Linked DNA regions of Cricetulus griseus. The protein of the gene in region 3 purifies or fractionates together with the protein of the main gene of each other region. This does not show direct contact. Links are inferred from orthologs where the notes say so. Each region holds a gene or a part of one and is shown on either strand. Other genes may lie near its edges.

Region 1 (4,862 bases), on a different chromosome or scaffold from region 3:
TTTACCCACATTTTATGCATAATCACATTTAATTTCAATACCTTAAAAAAATCAATAAAACAATTTGTCTCTACTTTCACTCATCCATCTCAAGATGAATAGTGGCCTGTTTTTTAGAAATATCATCCCATCAAAATCCAATTCACTGCAAACTACAAAGGTAAATTAAGACAGTTCATAAATGTCAGACATAACAATTAACTAAAAACCTACAGAACCATTATGAAAATTGGAAGGAAATGATTTAACTAAACTCCACAATGTAGCCCAGCATGTTTACAAAGGTACATCAGTAGTAAAAAAACAAGCCTAAGGGAACAGAAAGCACCACTGACCAGCCCAAGTGGCTCCACATTGGCTGTCTATCTGATACCCACAGCCTTCCTCTGCTCCGATCAACTCTCCCAACCCACTGCTACTTCTCACAGCCCTTTCAAGACTCCTGTGGTCCTTCTCGGGATACTCAAAAAAAAAAAAAAAAAAACCCATGTATGACACACGAATGTAGGATCACATACTTTTAAAAACAATTAACATATTTCTTTCGCACTTCCACATACAGAAATATAATTTAGAATTTTTTGCACATTCCACCCCACCTAGTATCATGAACACAACTGGCAACCTGTAAGTACCTGGTCACATAGCTTTGACAGTGATAGAGGCTAAAAGTTATCTGCTATACAGTATTTTTCTCAAGTTGAAGACCCACTTAATGCAAGAGATTTCTCTGAACAGAGAAATTACTAAAGTGCTCGACTTAAAGGAAACTATGCTGGTGTGGAAAGGAAGTGTAATAACTTACTTCTAGGATAAGGTTATAGCTCAGTGGTAGAGTATTTACTAAGCACACGGGAAGCCCTGGGACTAATCGCCAGCACACATGGAGGAAAAAAGTATTCTACTACAAATACATAGTAACTTAATGAAATGTTTCTCAAACTTTGATCAAAGTTCTAACAACAAAGACAAACATAATACGGCAAAGCTTAAGCCTCCTAAGCTTTCAGAGTCTAATTTTTCCATATCTAACTCTGAGGAAATAAATTTCTCAATCTGTTAAGCAAAAGTAAAATGCTCTACTTACCATCAGAGTCACCACCAGAGTCCTCAAACTGTGAGTAATTGACTGGTTTTTTATTTCTATGATCAAGACAGAAAAATCTTCATTAATACAAATACTAACTTTTTACTTTCACCTTAAAGTTATTAATAGTCTTGAAGAAAGGAAAATGTGTTTGAAGTCTCCTAGAAGTACTTTAATCCAAAATATTATTTGCATTTAACACCAAGAACTTGGCATTAGCTGAAAAGCCAAAACCATACCTAATAGACATGATGTGGGAAAAAAATTAATTCAGGAAACCCCCAACATAAGGAGAACACAAATAATTATCAATTAAAACTTATATTCTGTTTAGTGGCTATTGGGCATTTATAAATTACTTTGTACTCGTTCTTTGTTTACATTATAAAGTATCTCTTCAGTTTTAGCATATTTTTTTTAAAAAAATCCCTTAGAGGTGGAGTCATGGTGGTTAAGAATATGTACTGCTCCTTTGGAGGACCTGAATCTGGTTCCCAGCATCCATGCCAGGCAGCCCACAACCACCTGTAACTCCAGCTCTAGGGGGTAAAAATCCTCTGGCTTCCTCTGGCATTTGCACTCATATACACATACCCACACAGACACACACAGACACAGAGACACACACACATACACCTAAAAACAAAATCAATATTTAAAAGAAATCTTTCCATAATACCAAATAATGTCTTTCTAATGGAATGGACACTTTAAAATAGTTTGTTCCTCCCGTCGTTGTAGGCAGAAGAAAAGGTTCTCAATGTGAAAAAAAGGATGATTCCCCCCTCTAGGAAAGTAATGCAAAGTTGTCCAGTTTTCCCTTCTGTTGTGTATTAAATGCCCCATATAAACAAGCTTGTTGTTTCCAGCTGCCTGCTCTTTCAAGCAAAAACAGAGTTCTGTCAAAGAGACTTGTCCAGTTGTGTGTCCTTTGGTGAACCACCGTGTGTGCCTTCCCACAGCCTCACACACCTTAAAGGAGGTGTCCATGCCACTCTCCCACCCTTCAGAGTTTAAACATTTGACAGCTGCAGGAAATACGACAGCATCTTTTAAAACTCTGGGACTGACAATTAGTAAATAAAACCAAAAGCCTCCTAAAAAAGGTAAGTACAAAAATCATCCACCACGTAGCTCAGTCCCCAAGTTGACAACCTTGATTCTGTCCTTGTCTCCACATCTCCATATCAGCTTGTCAGAGGTACCTAAACTCACCTGCTCCATCTCCACACAAACACTGTGTCAAGTCACAATCTGGTGATAAGTTAGCCTTCCACACTCCTGCTCCCACTCAGGTCTACCAACAGCCAGTGACCTTTATAAAAGTAAAGTCAGAATAACTCCCACCTGCCTATGCTGAAACTACTCATCTCCCATTGGTCTAGAATAAAATCCAAACTCCTTTCTCAAGCATGGCCAAGCTCCAGGGCCTTGGCTTCTACTTATCTACCGAGAATGCCTCTTAGGTTTTGTCTATTCTGAAGTAGGCCTTTCCTCTTTCCCACTGGGTGCTGACTTGGCCCCAGGCCCCGTCTTCCACGAGGGTAACCTCCAGCTCTTAGTACAGTACAAAGTGAATTCACTAAGTCTATTTTTGGTCGGCTGTGCAGTACTGGGGATAGAACCTCGGGCCTTTCATGTACTAGGCAATCACTCCACCCCCGGGCCATAGCTTCGGTTATATACTAAACGGGCGGATGGCAGCCGTGATCACGGACAGTAGATTGCAACCGTACAACGGAGAGCAGAGAGGACCTGGAGGTGCGTGACGGGTCACTACGACTCAAACGGGCCCTTCTGCCTAGGGAAGGGTTGGGGGCCATAAAACAGGCAACAGCTGCAAAGGGAGGCCGAGGGCGGGAAGCAGGATGCTGGGTCCGCCACTCCGCAGCGGGGGCTGGCGACGGTCCCCTCCTTCAGCCCCGAGCGACACCGGCCTCCGGCGTGCCCCCGCGCATCCCCCTGCCCCGCGGGACGTCACCAGCGACTCACCGGGTAGGGCGCACCATGGTGCCCGTCCTCAGGCCGCAGGCGCCGCGATCCGGAGCCGGAGAGCAGCTGCGGCGGTTTCAATTCCCGCCCAAAACCGGACGCGGCGCTCCCCGCCCCGCCGCGCCAGCCCGCCAATCAGCGCTCGCCTGCCGGAGGCGGCGCCTGCGTGCTGGGAAGAGCGCGCCTGCGCACACACACCTTCCCCCGGTGCACGGCGTTCCGGATCCTGTCGGCCCCGGCCCCGGGGTTGGATTGCCGCTGCGCTTTCGTCACGACGGCGATTTGGTACCGACCCTAGTACAGAGTCCAAAAGTAGTAACACCCCTCCAACTTTATAAGGACTAACTGGAAGAGCAACGGCATAAAGGGGCTCTTGGGTCGGAGTTTTCTTTGGGGTGTGAGGAAAGGGGAACCGAGAGTAGCGAATCTGCCACAGTGAATCTGCTGGCTCTACAAACAAGCACGAAGTCAGCTGATTTACCGGGCAGCTCGGCTTTGACAGCTCCAAGTCTGCTTCGGCTTCTGAGGAAAGAGGTGAGCCCATGCCAACCGCGAGGAAACCCCGTCACTGTGGAGGTCCCCGTGAGAGCACCTGTTACAGGCTCAGGGAACCCGAGCAGGTTTCCTGGGCACTGCCTAAAGAGCGGAAGTGCAGCTTGACGTTGACAGTTCACTTTACGGGGGGCACTGGGTGTGCAGGTTGCACGTCGGTCTGGCAGGGTGTAAGCACACCCAGAGACGAACCCGGAGATGTAAGCTGGCTTAAGATGAATTTATCCTGAGGTCGACGGACCCTCATAAGCCAATTAATAGCATGAAAATGTTTCTTTTTAATTTTGTTCTGTTGCATGCTTGTAATGCATTCTTGGTTACTCTTTCCTTCCCCTTCCGTATGCCCCTCCCACCCCTGCCAGCTTAGCATTGCTCCGAACCTTCGCATCCCTACCAGTGCGCTTTCCAGATTCTCGGGATTCTTGGTTTGGTTTTGTGACCCTTTTAACTTAACCAGACCAGATGTGTGAGCATTGGGTTGCAACTACTCTCTGGATCCTGGTGGGGGCACCAGTGAACACACAGCTCAAGACAATGACTCCCTTTCCCCTGATCTCCAGCAAAGCTTGGGTCCTTCTGAGTCCTCCCTTAGCTGCTGATGGGCCCTATTCTTATGCGGATCCAGTGCAGGCGTCCAAAGCTGCAGTGAGTTTATGACTGCAATGGCGGGGTCTTGCCCAGAAAGTGGCATTTTGTCGAACTTTGCTTTATCCTCTGGCTCCTGTATTTTTCCACTCCCTCTGCTGCCATGTTCCTTGAGCCTTCAAAACGGGTGCTATCAGTGTCTTGTTGGGGCTGAGCACTCTTGCGTCACTTCTTCTCAGCACCTTGTGTCACCATGAGTCTCTGAATTCACTACTGTTCGTTGGAAAGAGATACTTCTCTGAGTAAGGCTGAGAGTAGCATTGTCTATGGGTACCAATATTTAGAAGGTGGTTGAGTTGACTGTCACTCTAATTCAGCAGTGGTATTTAGGGTTCCTCCTAGGATCTGTGATTTTATGTGCTATGGGTTTTTGACCAGGATTACAGTACCAGGATTTGCTCCTATGGAGCCTGTAAGCATTATAGCTCAGATGGAAATGTATTCTGGCACTTGGGAGCCACAGAATACTGAATGTTACAGCTCAGATGGAAAGGTATTCTGGCAATGGGGAGCCAAGGAATACCACAGGATACAGTAAGCATAGCAACTTACAGCTCTGCTCCAGGGAAAGTCTTCCCCAGTGTAA
Region 2 (4,894 bases), on a different chromosome or scaffold from region 3:
GCCTGGGGCCCTGGGCTAGGGTGGGGGAGGAGGAACGCCCCAGAAAGGCCAAAAGTCAGACACAGCCTCTGCACTGCCTTGGCTCTCACACTAGTGGCCAGCTTGTTCCAGAGTCACCAGGGAGTCCAGAGCACTGCTCCAAATCATGTGCTATTTTTTACCAAAAAATCAGGGTAAGGCGTCAGATATAGACGAGGCCCAGACCACACTCCTCTCTATGAGGGCATGGGGCTACTCAAAGAACCCATGGGGATGAGGCAATGGCCTGACACCCTCCCAAGAGCACCACAGTCTCTGCTCCTTCCTGGATCTCCCTGCCTTCAGAGGGAACAGGGCATGGAGAAGTCTTCCAAATTCCCAGGCAGGGAATTTGGGGAGGGAGCTGTCCACCCTTAACCTTTTAGACTTCTGCTGGCCTAGGAGGGGAGACAGTAGAGGGTGAGAGAAACTTGGGCAGCTTTGGTGTCCAGGAGTAGCTATGGAAACTGCAAGCAAACACATGGGGTTTGGCTGGGGAGGGCAAGGAGGGGCAGGGTCCAGGCCAAGGAAAGTCCTCAGTGCTGTATACAGCCACCCAGCCCACCTTAGCAGGTCAGGTGCTAGGCACAATCAAGCATAGGTTGGGAAGAAAAGGCCATCACAGCAGAAGTGCCAGCTGAGCTCACAGGGTAGTGGGAAATGGGAGTGGTCTCCTGTTCTTAATTCTCCCCAGGGGACATCTTTTCTCTACCACCACTACTCAGAAGATCTCAAAGCACTGAGTGGCTCTGCTCGCAAACCAATCACCAATAGTGGTGTTAGAGATAGGGGGCTGGACCCTCCCATCCAAGTGAGTCCCCCTCCTCTTTTAAAGTAGCCTGGGAATATGAGAAGGGGTAGATTCCTAAGGCTATAGGCATGTATGTCTGCCAACACCTTAGGGCAACTCTCAGGCCCACCACCCCCCTTCTGTGGAGCCTGCAGAAGGCCTACTCCTTCAAGGGCCATATAAGATGCCCCTTTCCGGTGCAACCCTGGACATGGGAAGCTGGCCCAGCACAGACCATGAGGTATAGGGTCTTTCCCCCAGCCCAGTCACAAGGCAATGGACCAGCTCACCCTCACAGTCTGCTTCCTTCTTTCACTTCTGCAAAGTTGGGGTGGGGGTACTGACAGGGCAGGACTGCAGTCCCCCATATCTTTGTTTTGGGAAGTTCCTAGCTCCCCTCTCTCAACCCAGGCAGAGCCAGCCTTACACATCAGGAAGCAGGAAGTGTCCCTAAGCTCCCCATCCTTCTCCCCTGACAGTAGGGCATACGCAAGAACAGTATCCTGAGGACAGGAACAGTATCCTGAGGACGCATCCCACACCCCTTCAGGCCAGCCAAGTCCCAGCCTCTGGCAGCCTCTGGCAGCCTCAGGAAGAAAGAATGTCTGGGGGAGGAAGAGAGAGCAGGTGTCCCAGAGTAGGCGTGGGACAGGGCAGGATGCTGGGCGGGGCAGCAGGCTAGGAACCTGAGGGCAGGTCGCAGCAGGCCACCTTCACAAACACAGACCTGAAAACCTTCCCACTCTGACAAACAGCTGGAAGTCCCCCACGCCCCCCTCATTGTGGGAACTTCTGGGAACCCAGCTGGGTGGCAGGGGCTGACTCAACCTGCCAAACACGGATGTCTGTGCGAGTGGCGGGGGCGACCACTCGCACGTGGCAGGGGCAGCGTGGGGGCCCCGAGGGGGATCACTCACTTGGATCGGTGCGGTGCTGAAATGGATCTTCCGACTCGGGGCCGGATCCTCTTCCTCTGAGAGGCCGGGAATCTCCACACACCCTGACTCCGGCTCGTAGGGGGGCTCACCGTCCTCCTCATCTTCTTCATCGTCCTCTTCCAGGGCACTGCCCCCAGAGTCCTCCCCGAGTCCACTGTAGGCGCTCACATCCACCAAGTCCGCTTCTGAGAAGTCCTCCTTCTTGGACTCATCCACCTCCTCAGGGGCCACGTCCGGGGCCCCGCCATTGTCCACCCCCCTTTCCGGCGTCGCCACCGACGCTGCCTCCTCCTCGGGGACGGCCTCGGCCTTGGGCTCCTCGGGAGCGGGGCTGGCTGTGGTGGCCGAGGTGCTGCCATTCTCCAAGGCAGCATGGACGGTCACCTCGGCCTGGATCACTTCCCCGGGGGCCGACTCGGCCTCAGACTCCCCACTTTCCTCAACCTCCACCGGCTTGATCTTGCGCACCTCCCGCGGCTTAGGCGGCGGTCGGGCAGGGGCCACTCGGTGCTGTGGGGGCTGCTGCCCTCCCGTGCCTCGCTCCTTCTCGGTCGCGGCATCCCCCGACGGGGCAGGAGGGGGCGGCGGTGGCTGAAACACCCGGGACCGCTTACTGACCAGCTTCGAGTTGACCTGGGGCGCCCCCGCGGCCCGGGGGGGGCCGGGCGCACGGTGAAGGCCGGTCCTCGAGTCGGCTTTCTCGAAGACGGCACTGAGCTGGCTGACCGTCGGCGACACGGCGTCAGCATCCAGCTTGTCCAGCGCCTCGGTGCTGCCGTTGAAGCGCACCACGACGTCCAGCTTCCGGTCCTGCAGGCCGGCGCGCTCCTGCCTCAGCAGCCGCCGAGCCGCGGCCTCCTTGTCGCCGCCACCCGAGGCCGCGGGGACGCTCCGTTCGAACAGCTTCCGCGTCTCCTGCAGCCGGGACGGCGGGTGCGGCGGCGGAGCCGACTGCGCCGAGGGCGCGGGCTTGGAGTCGAAGCGGCTCACGCGCTCAGACACGCTGGTGCCCAATTTGAGCAGGGCGCTGTGGTCCACGTTCTCGTTCAGGCTGCTGGCCCGCGGCAGGGACAGGCGCACGCCGCGCTCGGACGCCCGCGGGGCCTCGGCCATGCCTGCGCCGCCTCCCGCCTCCCCAGGCGGCCCCGCGGTGGTGCCCATCTGCAGGAACATACTTTTGATGCGGTGGACGTTGGAGCCATATTTCTTATGGTGGGCCGCCTTGGGTGTCTCATCGGGCCCGGGCGCATCGGGAGGCTTCAGTGCCTGGATGCCCGCTTCGTAGGCGCTGCGGTGCGGGGAGGCGCTCCGGAGGGGACCCCCGGGCCCCCGAGGCTCCGTCTTCATCATGGTGGGGGGAGCCGGGTTCGCATCCCCCCGCTCCCCGCTGCCCCCCTCCAGCAGGCGGCTGGCCAAGTCGGGACCACCGCCCCCCTCCCCAAAATAAAGAAATCCCGAAAGGCCTTCTATAGAGCCCCCCCAGAAACCAAGCTGCCAAAAAACAGTTAACCCTGCTCTAAAAAAAAAAAAAAAAAAAAAAAAAAAAAAAAAAAAAAAAAAAAAATCTCGGAGCGCCCTGTGTGGGTCGCCTCCCCAACCAAGCTGCCAAAGACAGCCAGCCCCCTTCGAAAGCTCGAGCGGCCGGCCTGGTGCGGTCGCCCCCACCCAAATTGGAGAAGCGGAGGCTGGCTGGAGCCGCTGGGACCGCGCGCCCAGTCCGCGAAGCAGCGGCCGCCGCGGCGCCGGCTCACATCCTCCGAGGCGGTGTCAGCGGGGCTGGCGGCGCGGGCGCCCCTACTCCGGCCGGGAGCCTTGACTCTCGGGGAGCCCGGCATCCCCGCGCCCGTGGCTGCTCCGCTGACCCGGGCCGCTCCGCCGCGCCTCCCTCCCCCCTCCCTCCCCCGCGCCCCGAGCCTCGGTCTTTCTCTAGCTCAGCCCGAACCGCGGCTGCCGGAGACCGAGCGGCTGCCCTTCTCGCCGCCGCCGCTGGGGGACTGGCACCACTGGGTCCTAAAGGGATCGGATTTCCGGGGCCGGAGCCTGTGAGCCCTCCCCTTCCCCTCCCCCCTGTCGCCTCATCTCTCCTACTCATAGTTGGCGGACAGCCTTCCGCAGCTCCTCGGACCTTGGCTATTCTTCTTCAACCCTCCCATCCCAAACTCGGCGGCTTTTCACAACCCACATAGGCGTCCCCTCATTTAACCCTGGGGGGCGGGGAACCATCCAGACACAGCCGTCTGGATCCTGCCTGGCCTGATCCTCCCCCAATATGAAGGGGTTCTGTGAGGAGGAGCCCTGAATCACTCACTCAAAGGTCCTTAGAGTGTTCAGGGTTATCAGCGTCAAAACTGCTGGGTGCTAGGTCAAAGCACATATTTCTAGCTCCTTCCAAACTTAGGGCAGGGGATCTCAGAGGCAGGACCTGGGAGTCTGCATTTTAACAACTCCCTATAGGGCACTTTTTGCATCTTCCAGGATGTAAAACTTTGGCCCAGGATTACTCGCGGTGCTGAGGAGAAATGAAGAAAAGGGGGGTTTACATCACCCAAGTGACAGGAGATTTCCAAAGCTCCCTTTGCCGTTGAAAGTCTTAAGATGGTGCTCTTCACCTGCCCACTCTTTTTTCAGGCTTCGAGAGGAGTGGCGAATCCTGGCCTTCATAACCTGCCAGAAAACCATCTCTCAAAACAGGAAGAGTTGGGACGGGATTGGGGGGTGTAGGAAGGAATGATTCTAGAGGCCTGGGACCAAAGTTTCCCTATTGAGGGGGGGGGGTACGTTAATCTCAGCATTTGCGAGGCAGAGGCAGGCAGATCTAGAGTGCCAGGACAGAGAAACCGTGTCTCGAAAAAGCAACAACAACCAAGTGTGTGTCCTAACAAATCCCTTCTTGAAAACTCAGCTTCTTTAGAGTTCCTTCATTCCTCACATACACAAGGGACCTGGTGTTGCCCATTATCCCTCCCCAGTTGCCTGGAACCTGGCAGTGAGGATCCATCCAATATTCAGGTCGAATTGTGTGTGTTGCTTGGGTCTGTAGATCCCAGGAACTGAGGAACAGAGTGGACACTAGGACCCAGAGAACAACTCAGGCACAAAGCCTCTCCGCCCCCCCCTCCCCTCCAGCTGCTTCCTGCATCTCAGGCCT
Region 3 (4,335 bases):
TGTAGACCTGGCCTCGATGCATTACTGACCCTGTGGCATGGCTTACGCCCTGAGAAAGCTGACCAGATGACTTCAGCCATCATTTGAGAATGGGGATGTTCTTCATGGCAGACCTCTCTTGTCAGAGGGGGGCAATAGGAGAGAGCCTGAGCCTCTCTCGGGACTTTAGTCATCAGCCGAACTATTCTGATTCATACAGCGCTAAAATTTTAGGTTTGTTTTCCTGTAATGCCTTGTATAAAAATTTCAGAAAAGCCATGCCACAAAGTATTTTTGGCACTAATATTACATATAATTTGTCTTCATCTATTTTTATTGTAAACTAAACACCATACTTGCTGATAAATTTTTCTCCTAAGGCACACTTCAGTTGATAACTTAATGTAAATTACATTAAAAGTCCTTTGATTGTAAAAGTAGTTATTTGTAAATCATGTTTTCCTATTGACAGCATTTTAGTTTTATCAGCTAGTAGAAACTATTATACCTCTTAAACTTTTAATATTTCAGAAAAATATGCCCAAATTCAACAAAATTCCTTTCTACCTCCAACCTCATGCATCTTCAGGAGCAAAAACTTTAAAAAAGTAAGTAACCATTGCTCTTCTTGATTGCAGTCACTGCACCTATGGTCACGTGGTGAAAGGGAGACGGCTGCTGGGTGGGAAGCTGGTTATTGTGGAGCTTGTCCCCTGTCAGAATTTAGCTTAGCCCATAATTGCTGACTCATGCCTTTGTAGTCTCAGCACTCGGAGGCAGAAACAGGAAAGAGGCCAGCCTGGGAAATACAGTGAGTTCCAGGCCAGCTGAGACGCCATAGCAAGACCAAGTAAGCCGTTTGTGGTGGCTCACACCTGTAATCCCTATTCTTAGCGGTGGACAGAGGAGGATCAGTTCCAGGGCATGTGAGACTCTGTTTAGGACAAAACCTGTGTATAGTAGCTGCCTCTACAGACCCTTTAGGGAGTAAAGAGAAAGGGGTAACCAGCTTGTGAGCACAGCTTTCTGAGGTTTCAGGAAGGAGGAATCACCTGAACACGGGCGGATGGCTGTACTGCCCAAAGACACACTTCCCCGGCGGGAACAGGCTGAGGATACCAGAAGTGGTTGTGGGGATGCGTGTTCCCTCACATAGGCTGGAGTGGGGAGACATGACGAGTTAGAGGCTTGGTGACTGAATTTGAATGCCAGGTCACCATGACATACTAGCAGAAATTCCTGATAGGTAAGGTAGACAAGGCTCCAAGAGAGGCTTACGGCAGAGAAGCTGAGGCCAGCAAGGGAATGTGAGCCATAATCAGTATGTGTGTGACACCAGCAGGGCAGCTAAACTGTCCCCAGGGTTCCTGAGCTGGCCCACTGGCCAATGAGACACTTCAGGGTTGACCACCACGAGGGTCTGCTCGCCTCGACACTCCTGCACACGCACACACTGGATCAGTTCATAGCGAGCGTAGACACACTTGTAGCAGATTCATGACAGAACCCCAGGATCCTTGAAGAGTTTACACTGTAGCTATGAGGTTTGGTGGTGGTTGAATGATAGCAGAGATGAGGGCCTGGACGAAAGGGACTTCAGCTGTGTGATCCAGGACAAGCCAGCTGCTGGATTTGTGGTGTGGAGCCGCCTGGGGCTTAATGTCTAGCCTGGGGCGTTCATTGTCTGCTTCTAGTTGAAGACACAGCAGTGGGAAGTAACACTGAGCCCTGGTGGTTAATTGGTGGATCTGCCCAGGTCTGTCCTCGGTTCAGGCGCACACATGAAGGACTAAAATGCAGGTAGCTATTGTGTGTAGTACATAAGCCCTAGACGGGCACCATTGGAACTCTCTGACAACTCCCAAATGGATCCAGGGACTGAAAACATGCATTGGTTTCAGATGTCTGTACAAGAGGCTCTCTGTGAGTTCGAGGCCACTCTGGTCTCCAGAGTGACTGCCAGGATAGGCTTCATAGCTACATAGAGAAACCCTGTCTCAGAAAGAAAGAAAAAAAAAAAAAAAAACAGATGTCTGTACAACGTTTTTCTTTAGATGTTGACACAATGAAAATAATAGACTTTGTGGTATCAAAACATGCATTGTCTTTTCTAGAGACAGACTCTCTGCCAGTGACATGCTGCAGGTCCGGAAGGTGACGGAGCATGTCTACGAGAAGATTATCAACCTGGATAATGAGTCTCAGACCACCAGCTCTTCTAATAATGAGAAGCCAGAGCAGGAGAAGGAGGAGGATATTGCTGTGTTGGCAGAGGAGAAAATTGAACTTCTGTGCCAGGACCAGGTGAGTGGACCTGAGGAGTGTAGCTTCATCTCCCTGCAGAGGTACCCAGAAAGTCACACAACGTGTAACCGTGACGTGTGCTTAGATCCTCAAGCAGTTGGCCTCCTTGGGCATCAGCTTTCAGAGGCTCTCAAGAGCCCAGTCTTTTGCCAAGATTCTTCAGCGTACCCGAAGCTTTTCTTCATCTGAGGGAGGTGCTTGGGAAGAGGACACAGATTTACAGATGTCCACAGTAGGGCTGCACCTGGTTAACAGGGGCAAGGTCGTCTTGATTTGCAGGGTAGTATCTATCATGTTAAAGAATTTGGAGTGGAGGTGGGTGGTGAAGAGATGGATCACAGCTAAGAGGCAGTGTGTGTGCTCAGGTGGGGCTGAGCTGCTTCTGCTGGTGGATTTTTCAGATCCCATGTGTAAGCTGGGCCACCTGGCAGGTCCCTGGTTAAGGGTGGCTTTAGCTGTTAGTGACCTTGACGTTTTCAATGCACTTTGGCTGTTCAGGTTTTGGACCCAAATATGGACCTACGAACAGTAAAGCACTTCATCTGGAAGAGCGGCGGGGACCTCACACTCCATTACCGCCAGAAGTGCACGTGAAGGGGGGCCAAGTCCTGGGTTATTCATCAACCTTCCTCTGGGGCCCTGAGTAGTCCTAGGAAGCCCACCAAGCCCTACCGGGAGCAGGAGCTCCACCGGCCGATTTGGTGGAGTCACTAATCGAGATGTAATATAGAACCAGGCTCCATGCATAGATTAAGGTGTCCCCAGGGACTCAGTGTGAGGACAGGAGCCCCAAGCAGTCCTTCGAGGTGTGCAGAGACCTACAACAGCCGTGCGGACTTCACTGACCCCTTTTGAAGGCCCTCTGTCTCTTAGCACTTGTTAGAGAACATCAGCGGGGCCACATCTGTCACCGCGTTTCAAACCCATGAGTTCTGCGGCTTCTCTAAGTACATTCCACTCATGCAGTACCTATGAAGGCTTTTTCCAAATTTGTCATTACAAAAAAAAAAAAAAAAAAAATGTTTTCATCATCATGTAAGAGTTTTGTTTTAATGGGAATCATCACTGTTGCACAATTCAAGAACCAGCCCACTTTGTAAGAAATGACCATGTTGGGCTACTTTTGAAATACGGGATCTCAGCTGTGGTCTGTAGGAGGACCTCCTGCCACTGCACCTGTGTTGTGCAGTACTGTCCCATAGCAGCCCCAACAGCGGTGGCCACTGTCCTTCCTCCAGCAACCAGTCTTCCTCAGAGGCAGTGTCAGTGGGAACCACAGCCTCGCAACCTGGGTGAGCAGCACGATACTGTCCACTTAAGACCATGCTGAAGTCTCAGTTTCATTCAAATGCTACCTAAAGTTTGTGTTATTAGAGTAAAAAGATCTCACAGTCAGTTGGTTTGATATTTATATTGTGGTCCATGTTTGGTTTTCCAGTTTTATGCGTGGGCTTTTCCTGTACCTGCGTCCAGATCTTTTCCTGTCTTTCTAACAATCATAAGCTTTCATAGACTCACTTGGACTTGGAATTATTAACTTATTGGGGATAAACACTTCACCTTTGACAGAAAATACTTTGGATTCTTCTCAAGGTCCTTCTCATTCAGATAGCTCAGTGGTCCCCCTGACCCTCCAGAAGACAAACCTTGAACAAAGCCAGAAGAAGCACAAGTGCCTTCAGGGGCAGTTTATTCCAGGCCCGTCGCCTCCCTCCCCTGTGTGCTCTGTCCCCACGGGAGCAGGGACTGGAGAGGGCTTGTTCTCTTTTCCACATCTTCACAGGTTCCACTGGGGGCCGCTGGTGGGTCCAGGTCGGTCCCTCACAAAATGAGGCACCGATCCGAACAACTGCAGAACAGGGTCCCTCACTGCTAACTGTGGAGCTCAGACATGCCACGGCTTCCACACCCTCAAGTGAGCAAAGACATTTCCCAGGTGTTAAAATGTTCTTTCCTCAGAGCAACTGGCGTTTTTTCCTCTTACAGAAGTCCTTTTTATCTCTCTGTGATACAACAGTGCACTTTTGGTGCATCTTTTTCAGTGATAGTTAT
Region 4 (4,925 bases), on a different chromosome or scaffold from region 3:
CATCTCTGAGTTTAAGGCCGGTCTGTCTAGTCTATATAATGAGACTGTCTAATAAACAAACAAACAAACAACTCCATTAGTTTTTATACACACCCCACTCCCTCCTGGTACAAGCACTCTACCAACTAAGCTACTGCTCTAGCCCTAACTTTTTTCTGTCTTTTGCTTCATTGAACCCAAGCCTTCCAATACTAAATAAACTCACCCTTGAGCTATATTTCCATCCTACTACCAATCTAATTTCTCAGCTCATTTGAAAAAGTACATCTGCCAAAATAACAAAAACTTTATTTTTAAAGACAAGTAATAAGGATGAAATTTTTATTTTTAGAAAATTCAAATGAATTAACAGGGCTATTGTGGTTAAAAGCATAGTACTGATGCTGCACAAGTAGGCAAGAAGCTCAATGGAGTGTGTCTGAAAAGCAAAACCAGACAAGGTTATGTAAGAATTCATACAGGGGATCTCCGACACGGCCCAGAAAGCAAAGGTACTTGCTGTCCAGCCCAGTAACCTAGTTTGATTTGCCAGGATCATGGTAAAAAGGGAGCACCTCTTCCCACAAGTTGCCCTCCACACATATGCTGACCCCTGCACTTACAATAAATAAGCAAATGTAGCAAAAATAATTTTTAAAAAGAATTTAAGTGGTAAAACTAACATCCAAATTAACAGATAAAAGACTAAGAGATGATAGTGGGACAAATTCTGACCATTTAGATAAATGAGGTAAAATACAAGCAAAACTATGTATGTTGAAATAAGTGAATTAAAAAAAGAATCTATTATTATGGTCTATAAAGCTTTGAGATGGTGTCAGAGACATCACACAACAGACATTCAAGTCAGAATTAAGTTAAAGTACCTGCCCTGATATCTACTAGTATGGAAATCTATTTTTTCTTTTTTTTTTTGTTTTAAAATTTTTTAAATTAGTAACAAGCTTGCTTCACATGTCAATCCCAGCTCCCTCTCCCTCCCCTTCTCCCCCTCCCCACAACAACCCCCAAGCCCCCATTCCATCCCCCCTCTGCTCCCCAGGGAGGGTAAGGACCTCCATGGGGGATCTCCAAAGTCTGTCATATCATCCCAACAGAACTGTGACTATGGAGCAAGCAACACAAACTGGCAACTTCCCCTGGGAAGAAGCATGGCTGACTGATCCTGAAAACACAGGATCTGGAATGGAGAAAGTCATCAATAATTGCTTGTGCCATAATTACGGCACAACAATGACTAAATAGCCATAGAAATTAAAAACATTCATGTGATGGGGCTGGAGAAATGGTTCAGCAGATACGAGCACTATCTGTTCTTCCAGAGAACCAGGGTTCAACTCCCAGCACCCACATGGCAGCTCACAGTTGTCTGTAACTCCAGCACCAGGGGATTTGACACCCTCACACAGGCATACATACGGGCAACCAATGTAAATAAAATGAAGATAAATAAATCATTTAAAAAATATGTGAAAAAGAAATATTTTTGAAACCAAGTTCTTAGGATTATAATTAGAAACTACTAAATATGCTACAAAGAAATGTAAGCTGGCTGTGCTTGCACAAGCCTGGGCTACATGGGATCCTGTCTAAAAACTAAAACAGGGCCAGTGAGATGGCCCAGTAGATAAAAGCACTTGCTGCCAAATTGGCAATCTGAGTTTAGGCCTTGGGAACCACAGGGTAGACGAAGAGAACTGACTCCTCCTACAAGTTGTCCTCTGATTTCCATACTACCAATACACAACTGTAAATTTATAAACGTAACAAGAAATAAAAACAAGTTTGAAAATGTATTGAAAGCCTTCCACCCCAGCACTCAGGTGGCAGCGATAGGAGGATCTCTTTGAATTCTAGGCCAGCCTGATCTATAGAATGAATTCCAGGACAGACAAGACTACAGAGAGAAACCCTGTCTCGAAAAACAAAAACAAAACAAAGAGTTAGGACTGAAGTGAGCACACATCTTAGCTCACTTCAAAGGCACCACAACACATTAACTAAAATGCTAGTCTGAGACATGGTATATTAAAAAAAACATAGCAGCTATGAAGAGGCACAAGCCTGTAATCCCAACATTTGGAAAGTGGTGACAGGAGGATCAGTAGGTCCGAATCCAGCCTGGGTATTTTTCTATCTACATATACATATCAGCCATGTACTTTAAGATCCTAGCCACTACTTAATCGCATAGAATATCATTATGGTTGCTTAGTGTATTTTTATTTCTTTCTGTAAACCAGGGCTTCCCAGATTAAGCACTGTCTTCAGCTTAGTGTACTCTTGAAACGCGGTAAATACAGAACACCTAACATGTCACAGAGACTCTTAACTACATTACATTAAGCTCTGCAGCCTCGAGAAACCGACTTAAATACCTCACTTAATTCTTAAGTGACATTCCATATGGAATTCCTAGGACAGATGTTTGTGTGTACGGACTAGACGCACTTAAAGCTTTTTCGCTGTTCTATGATTCCACATCACGAACAAAGAATTGGAGCCTGAGATCCTCGGTGACATGTCATTCCACCAATGTTTCAGGACCCGGGAACAGTGGTTTTCAAATCTTGAGCTTACAGCGAGCCCGAAAATTTCTGAGAATTCCACTGAGGACTTAACCACGATACACCGAGGCAACCATCCCACACAAAATTATAGCTGCGGATCATCACATCACTCCTTCCCCGTCTCAGAAGCAAGCAGGACTCCCACCACCCCCACGCCACAATTCGCCAACACAGGCAGGAAAGAACTTGACAGATCCTCGAGCTCACCTCAATCTCGTAGTCCTTGACTGGACGGGGAGCTGCAGCCGCCGCCATGGTCAGGACCCCCACCATGATCCCTGCCTCCCAGAGCCACGGATCCTAGGACCTCAGGCGGTCCGGCCCAGCCTGGCTGGAGGCCATGGAGGCGGCCGGTGCAATGGGAGCGAGCTGCGGGGCCGCGGGGTCCGTCACGGGTCCCCCAGAGCCCAGCCGGCGGACGCGAGTGCGAGGCTGGGCCCAGGGCCGTCCAGCCAGGCTTCGTCGAGAAAGCGCGGGCGCAGGCCCCGCGGAGGCGGCCGGACAGTGCACGGTGACCCCGAGGCAGGCGCTCCAGGCTCAGCGTTCGAGCCCCGGGCCGCAGTGGGCGCTGCACACGGAACGCCGATCAGGCCTTGGGCTTCCTGGGACTTCTTGTCAATTGGGTTTTCGCGCCGTCCGGAGCGCAGGGGGCGGAGCCTATGACCGCTTCTGGAGACTGGGCCTACGGTGAGCCACTAAGACCAAACTATTTCGTTTGGCGAATCAGCAAGCGACGGAACCAGGTCTATTTGGAATCCTAGTGGGACTTCAGACGTTCGTGACTCGGTGTTACAGGCGAGTTTGACCATTCAGGACGTGATTTCTCTAAGGCTACCTAGTCACTTGGTGGCCGAACTAAGACTTAGACATAAGGCATTTTTTTTTTGTTCGTTCGTTCGTTTGTTTGTTTTTTTGAGTCCTGAATGTTCCAGAACTCCGTTTGTAGACCATCCTGGCCTCGAACTCACAGAGATACGCCTGTCTCTGCCTCCTGAGTGTTGGGATTAAAGGTGCCTCCACTGCCCAGCGACTGTAGCCATTCTTAAAATTATATTTTAAAGCCAGGAAGTGCGACTTTAATGGCTTTAATTCCAGCACAGCCTGGTCTACATAGAGTTCCAGTTCAGCCAAGAGAATCTGTCTGATAATACATAGATAGATAGATAGATAGATAGATAGATAGATAGATAGATAGATAGATAGATAGATAGATAGATAGATAGATAGAGCAAAAAAGAGAGAAATAAATGAGTGAGTGAATAAATAAATAGAAAGGAGTTAAGACGACGTAGAAAAGCCGGGTGGTGGTCTACATAGAGTTTTAGTTCAACCAAGAGATTCTGTCAAATAAATAAATAATAGAAGTTTAAAAGAGATAGAAAAGCCAGGTGGTGGTGGTGAATATACACTTTTAATCCCAGCACTCGGGAGGCAGAGACAGGCAGATCTCTGAGTTCGAGGCCATCTTGGTCTACATATTTAGTTCTAGGACAACCAGGGCTACACAGAGAAACCCTGTCTCAAAAAAAATTTATTTTAATTTTATGTGTATGAGTGTTTTGCCTACATGTATGTATATGTACTATGTGTATGCCTGGTACCTGTGGAGACCAGAAGAGGACATTGGATCCCCTGAGACACCATGTGGGTGCTGGAAACCAAACCCAGATCCTCTGCAAGAGCAAGAAGAACTGAGTTCTCTCTCTAGCCCTCAGATACAAAAAGCATGTGCTTTGTTACTGAGCTACATACCCAGCCCATGATTTAACCATTACAAAGAGTATGTATAAAACCCTGCTACCTTGGTTAAAGATTTAACTGCTCTATAGCATCGCCCACAATGGAACTTCTCCTTTCATGCTTTCATCAGATAGGTTAGTAAACACACTGTGGCATAACCATGTCATAACCATACAATGGAATCCTTCTCAGCAATAAAAAGAAATGAGGGCTAGGAAGGTAGAGTATTGGAGAAACACCTCCCGTTCACAAGGTGGTGGTATCAATCCTGAGCATTGCCAAAATGCAACTCTAAATCAATAAAAAGCCAAGCATGGAGCAGGGGGTTAAAGAGGTGACCCAGCAGTTAAGGGCACCGGCTCCTTTTACAGATGACCCAAGTTCAATTACTAGCACCTACATGGCAGCTCACAGCAGTCTATAACTCCAGTTCTAGAAGATCCATCACCCTTTTTCTGATCTCTGTGGCACCAAGCAAATAGCAAAGAGACATAGATGCAGGCAAAACATTTGTTCATAAAAAATAAATAATCTTTTTTAAAAAAGCAAAATCAAAATGGTACTGGAAAGGTAGCTCAGGGGTTGAGAGTGTACACTGGGCTGCACAGTAGTGGC
Region 5 (4,897 bases), on a different chromosome or scaffold from region 3:
GCTAAATTACCTAGTACTTCCTTCTCAGGAATGTCTTGCTCTACTGACTAACACATGAGGAACTGCTGGAAAGAACTTAACATTGCAGGTGACACTGTCCTCTAAGAAGACTTCAACTTCTAAGAATCAACTAGCTTAAAACTGCTCATTTGAAGACACTTTCCTTTCTCCTTTACTTTTATAAAAGCTGTTATCACAAATTTACCCAAAAGTGAACACAATTATAATCACATATCATATCAAACATGTATACAAAGACTTACAATTTAAGAGTCAGGCTGGGCGTTGGTGGCACACGCCTTTAATCCCAGCACTCGGGAGGCAGAGGCAGGCGGATCTCTGTGAGTTCGAGACCAGCCTGGTCTACAAGAGCTAGTTCCAGGACAGCCTCCAAAGCCAGAGAAACCCTGTCTTGGGGAAAAAAAAAATCATAATAATCACAAATTAGATTGGCTGTAACTTCCTATCATCCCCTGCTTAACAAAACCATAATCTCAAAATCACAGGAAATATCTGAAAACCTTTTTTTAAATTTATTTAACTTTATTTTATGTGCATTGATGTGAAGGTGTCAGATCCCCTGGACTTTGAGTTATAGACAGTTGTGAGCTGCCATGTGGGTGCTGGGAATTGAATCCAAGCCCTCTGGAAGAGCAGCCAGTGCTCATAACCTCTGAGCCATCTCTCCAAAACCCCCTGAAGACCTTTTGAGCCTGGTTCAGTAATTTGATAAATTTTAGAACTTTGAGATACACTCTTACTATGTTGTTCAGGCTGCCCTAGGCTTAAATGATCTCTCATGTTAGCCTTCTGAACATACTCCCTGGTTTAGGAGTATATTTTGAATAAAATGTTCCAATGCCCAGTACAGGCAGATGGTCCTTCATGTAGTCTGGATAAGTTATGTTAGCATAGTTATGTCATGCTTTTTATGAAGACTTGAGAATAATGTTCATGATTTGGTATTGAGTGTAAATATAAAAGGAATAAAAAGTGTTCTTCCTTTTTTTTTTTTTTTAAATCAGTATTTTGAAGCTGGGGCCAAGGAGTAAATCCAGAGCCTTGTACATTCAAAGCACACCCTCTACCATGGAGCCTCACTCCTAACCCACAGCTACACCCTTAGGGTCCAGAAGTCTTTAGAAACATCTTCAGAGAAAAACATGTGGGCAACCATGACATTCTTCAAGGTTCAGAAAGTTTTCTGCTTACCTACGTATTCTTTATGGGCTGCACTTGAGAAAGTGAGCCACCCAGCAACTTAAGAGAACTTCTGTATGTGGAACACACAAGACCTATTTTCCATGGTCTTATTAACAAGGATTAGAGTGTTACCACTTGCAAGAAAGCAAGGGCTAGAAAGGGCTCCAGATAGGCTCTCCTCTCAAGAGCTCAGTGCTGATCAAGAATCAAGACTGACCAATCACTAGACTCTTTTTAATGATCCCCAAATGGGAACTTTGGAAACCAAGGAAACATAGTCTTCAATAAAGATTTTCATTTCTCTTTCACACAATTTGCCACTTCAACACTTCCCCAAAAGGTTACATGGTTAAAAAAAAAAAAAAAAAAAGATGCTCATCTTTTACATACCAAAACATGCCTCCCAAAACTATTTCCTGCTGTTAGGCCTGCAGAACTTTTGTTTATATTGAATTTACTCACAATTTATAGTTTGCTATTTGCTATCATTTAAAATATTCAGAAGACTTTGAGTAATTACACTCCTTTAGACTTTGAGTAATTACACTCCTTTATGCTTGAGTAAATTCCAGTGTGGGTAACAATTAAGTCTATATGCATTAAGACTGGGAGGTGAAGAAAATATGATTTACATTTTACTGAGTATTGGTTTCATTAATTCATTAAGTGCGTCAAATCTACTTTTCTGGAGTTCCTATGTTTGTGCTACTTTACAAATAATCTTAATAAGAGGAAGTATTACTCAACAACAATCTCAATTACTTAATGTTTGCTTTTAACAATATGTATTTTTGATGTTTGGCAAACTGTTTTTGAAACACATTAAATCTCAATTTTCTTCCCCCTCTTCTTTGGCAAGTTTTAAATCCTGACGATTCCTCTTCTAGAACACTAGAGGAATTTCATTTCACTTGATTTATATACTGAACCTACAGGAAAATTTGTCTGCACTATTTCACAGGTTAGTGGAGAACTCCACCCAGTTAGCCACCCTTTAACCATCTCTGCTGACCTCACCTCACCTCACCTCACCTCACCTTCTGCATTCTTCCTGCATAGAAACTTCTTGTCATCACTCACCTTCAAGGTTCCACTCCCCCTTTGCCTGGATCTGTTTTCCTACCCTCCTACTCCCCTGATTCTACCAAAAAGCCCCGCTTAGCTGCCTGTTGCATAACGGCTCCCCCACTGCCTTCTCCCCGGATTGTCAGCCAGGCAGGAGTGCCCCTTCGGGCTCTGCTCCTCCTCCCCCCACCCCCGCAACACGCCCAGCGAGTCCCCAGGCTCAGATCCTCCAGGACTGTCTCTGAGCGGGGAGCGCAGGGTATCGCGCCTTGGAGCCTGGAGCTGGTTCGGAACTCGGGTAGCCAGTCCCGAGGGCAGTGTGGCTGCTCCAGCCCGCACAGCCCGCGCACACCGCGGCGCCTGGCCAATCGCCGCCGCCATCCCCTGGCTGGGGTGATGTCTTCAGGTGTCCGCCTAGCCCTGCGTACTCACGCTTGGCTCCTGCCAGGAGCCGCCCGCCCTCCGAGCCCCCCGGAACCGGCACCAGGGCCCCCGGGCTAGGCCCAACGAGGCGACGGCGGCCCCGGGGATGCGAGGGCGGGGGTGGGGGGTAGCGGCGGCCCGAGTCGTGGGCCTGCCGGGCGGCGGCCAGGGATGGCCAGCAGCGGGGACCCAGGCGGCCGAGGCCTGGGCGGGGGCGCGGCACAGAGACCACAGTAGGCCCACGGCGCCCCGGCCCGATGCAGGCGGCCAAGGGACGCAGGGCGGGGGGCGCCCGCTGCCTCGGGCAGCTTGGCGAAGGTGGACCCGGTCCTCCCGCTCTCTGCCGCCTCACCTTCAGGACCCGGATCCCTCCAGGCCGGCGAGCCGTCGCCGCTTCAGGTGGCTCCGGGGGCTCCAGGGGGCCCCCGGGCCCGGGCTCCACCTCCCCCATTGGCGGCCAAGGATTCAGAGACACCCGGCCGGCGCTACAGCGCGCGAGCCTCGGAGGCGCGCGCGAGCGGCGGGAGGCCTCACCCCTCCGCCTAGGCCCCGCCCCTAACCCGACGTCCCGCCCCTATCGGCCCCGCCCCTAGCCCCCGCTGGACCTACGTAGCTGCCGGCCTGCAGAGGCCAGAGCAGAATTGTGGGAGCCTGGCGCCACTGCAGGGTTAGCCTCCGCCACGCTCCACCCATGGCTTAGAGGACTAGGCTGCAGAGAGAGCAATTTGTTGCTTTCTAGGTGCTTCAAGAAGAGGCAGAGGAAGAGGCAGGTGAGGCCTGTACCTGTTAAGATAGCCAAGATGCTGCCCTCCACCGATTCTCTAGCTGAAACGTTTCCTGCTTTTAAATGTGTCTGTCACTTTGCTCGCACTGACAGTGAAAGAACTGTTGCATATACTCACTTACCTCTCTTAGGAGATAGCTTGCGACCTTCTTCAGCAAACAACCTCAAGTATGCAGACATCATTTGGCTCTCCAGCCACATTTCAATGTCCACTGAAGTCAAAGTAGCAGAATTCTTTTCTCAAACATATTAATGCTGTGTAAGCCATATTATTTTGCAAGGCTTAACTCAGCAAAGAATGGTTTTGTTTTGTTTTGTTTTTCGAGACAGGGTTTCTCTGTGTAACTTTGTAGACCACACTGGCCTTGAACTCACAGAGATCCGCCTGCCTCTGCCTCCTGAGTGCTGGGTAAATTAAAGGCGTGCACCACCACCGCCTGGCTCAGTAAAGAATATTTTTAGGCTGGGTGTTGGTGGCACACGCCTTTAATTTACCCAGCACTCGGGAGGCAGAGGCAGGCGGATCTCTGTGAGTTCAAGGCCAACCTGGTCTCCAGAGCGAGTGCCAGGATAGGCTCCAAAGCTACACAGAGAAACCCTGTCTCGAAAAAACAAAAACAAAAACAAAATTTAAAGGTTGGCTTTTCTTTTTAGTTCTTGAAGCGATAGTAGTTTTGTGGTTAATGGACCAAATTATGAGTCTGCCTAATTTCAAATCTTAGTTGTACCCATTTTAGATCTAAATTACTTAATCTAATTCTTTCGGGTTATTTTTTAAGGCAGAGCCACTTGTAGCCCAAGCTGACCCCCAACTCACTATATAACCAAAGCTGGCCCTGAACTTCTGATTCTCCTTCCCTGCATTACAAGTGCTTTAAGCACAGATATGAACCACCATGCCCAGCTTTCTTTATGTTATGGGTGTTAGACCTATACAACCCTTGGTAGTAGAGACTAGAAGACAGTGTCAAAACCTCTGGACCCAGATTACAGATTGTTGTAAATTGGCATTTAGGTGCTGGGAGTTGAAGTTGGTCCTCTGGAAGAGGAGCCAGTGCTCTTAACCTCTGACTCTGGTTCTTAACCAGCCCCTCCCTCTAGTTCTGAACTAAATTTAGTCTACCTGGCAGTTATCAAGATGTAAGGGGGGGAGGACACACAAAGAGCCTAACTCAGTGATTCATAGTAGCCATTATAATTCTGAAATTCTAGTTTCCCAAGTCGCTAGCATTAACTGCTCCTAAATTTTGTAAGACTTGTAAACCTCTTTGTTTTTAGGGCTTCCTCTCTTACACATGGGCTGAATTTCAGTCAACTTGTAAGAAACTAAAAAGCAAAACAAGTTCTCCAATAACAGGCAATCCACTACTTCAGCTTTGTTGGTCCAACTATTTGTCTGGAGTACTTTAATTATGGACTTTC

Evidence for each region. The genes of interacting proteins can lie anywhere in the genome.
Region 1: the proteins of Wdr48 (region 3) and Rad51ap1 purify together in Homo sapiens (affinity purification with mass spectrometry; 5 studies listed by BioGRID and IntAct, counting the BioPlex papers as one, with this or other methods). This does not show direct contact. The link is inferred for Cricetulus griseus from reciprocal best matches to the Homo sapiens genes WDR48 and RAD51AP1.
Region 2: the proteins of Wdr48 (region 3) and neurabin-2 purify together in Homo sapiens (affinity purification with mass spectrometry; 3 studies listed by BioGRID and IntAct, with this or other methods). This does not show direct contact. The link is inferred for Cricetulus griseus from reciprocal best matches to the Homo sapiens genes WDR48 and PPP1R9B.
Region 4: the proteins of Wdr48 (region 3) and Atad5 purify together in Homo sapiens (affinity purification with western blotting; 3 studies listed by BioGRID). This does not show direct contact. The link is inferred for Cricetulus griseus from reciprocal best matches to the Homo sapiens genes WDR48 and ATAD5.
Region 5: the proteins of Wdr48 (region 3) and Phlpp2 purify together in Homo sapiens (affinity purification with mass spectrometry; 5 studies listed by BioGRID and IntAct, with this or other methods). This does not show direct contact. The link is inferred for Cricetulus griseus from reciprocal best matches to the Homo sapiens genes WDR48 and PHLPP2.

The regions. Positions count from the first base shown.
Region 1 is NC_048601.1:19,519,547-19,524,408, reverse strand, and holds the start of Rad51ap1 (RAD51-associated protein 1), read right to left. Parts: upstream 3,215-4,862; 5' UTR 3,097-3,214; coding exon 3,080-3,096; intron 2,421-3,079; exon of another isoform or gene 2,303-2,420; intron 1,144-2,302; coding exon 1,088-1,143; intron 1-1,087. UniProt on the Homo sapiens protein: Structure-specific DNA-binding protein involved in DNA repair by promoting RAD51-mediated homologous recombination.
Region 2 is NC_048600.1:108,169,671-108,174,564, reverse strand, and holds the start of neurabin-2, read right to left. Parts: upstream 3,215-4,894; 5' UTR 3,097-3,214; coding exon 1,726-3,096; intron 1-1,725. UniProt on the Homo sapiens protein: Seems to act as a scaffold protein in multiple signaling pathways. Modulates excitatory synaptic transmission and dendritic spine morphology. Binds to actin filaments (F-actin) and shows cross-linking activity. Binds along the sides of the F-actin.
Region 3 is NC_048597.1:227,013,269-227,017,603, forward strand, and holds the end of Wdr48 (WD repeat-containing protein 48), read left to right. Parts: intron 1-510; coding exon 511-587; intron 588-2,093; coding exon 2,094-2,283; intron 2,284-2,781; coding exon 2,782-2,877; 3' UTR 2,878-3,688; downstream 3,689-4,335. UniProt on the Homo sapiens protein: Regulator of deubiquitinating complexes, which acts as a strong activator of USP1, USP12 and USP46. Enhances the USP1-mediated deubiquitination of FANCD2; USP1 being almost inactive by itself.
Region 4 is NC_048600.1:93,536,311-93,541,235, reverse strand, and holds the start of Atad5 (ATPase family AAA domain-containing protein 5), read right to left. Parts: upstream 3,215-4,925; 5' UTR 2,844-3,214; coding exon 2,778-2,843; intron 1-2,777. UniProt on the Homo sapiens protein: Has an important role in DNA replication and in maintaining genome integrity during replication stress.
Region 5 is NC_048596.1:186,232,306-186,237,202, reverse strand, and holds the start of Phlpp2 (PH domain leucine-rich repeat-containing protein phosphatase 2), read right to left. Parts: upstream 3,215-4,897; 5' UTR 3,143-3,214; coding exon 3,044-3,142; intron 284-3,043; exon of another isoform or gene 264-283; intron 1-263. UniProt on the Homo sapiens protein: Protein phosphatase involved in regulation of Akt and PKC signaling.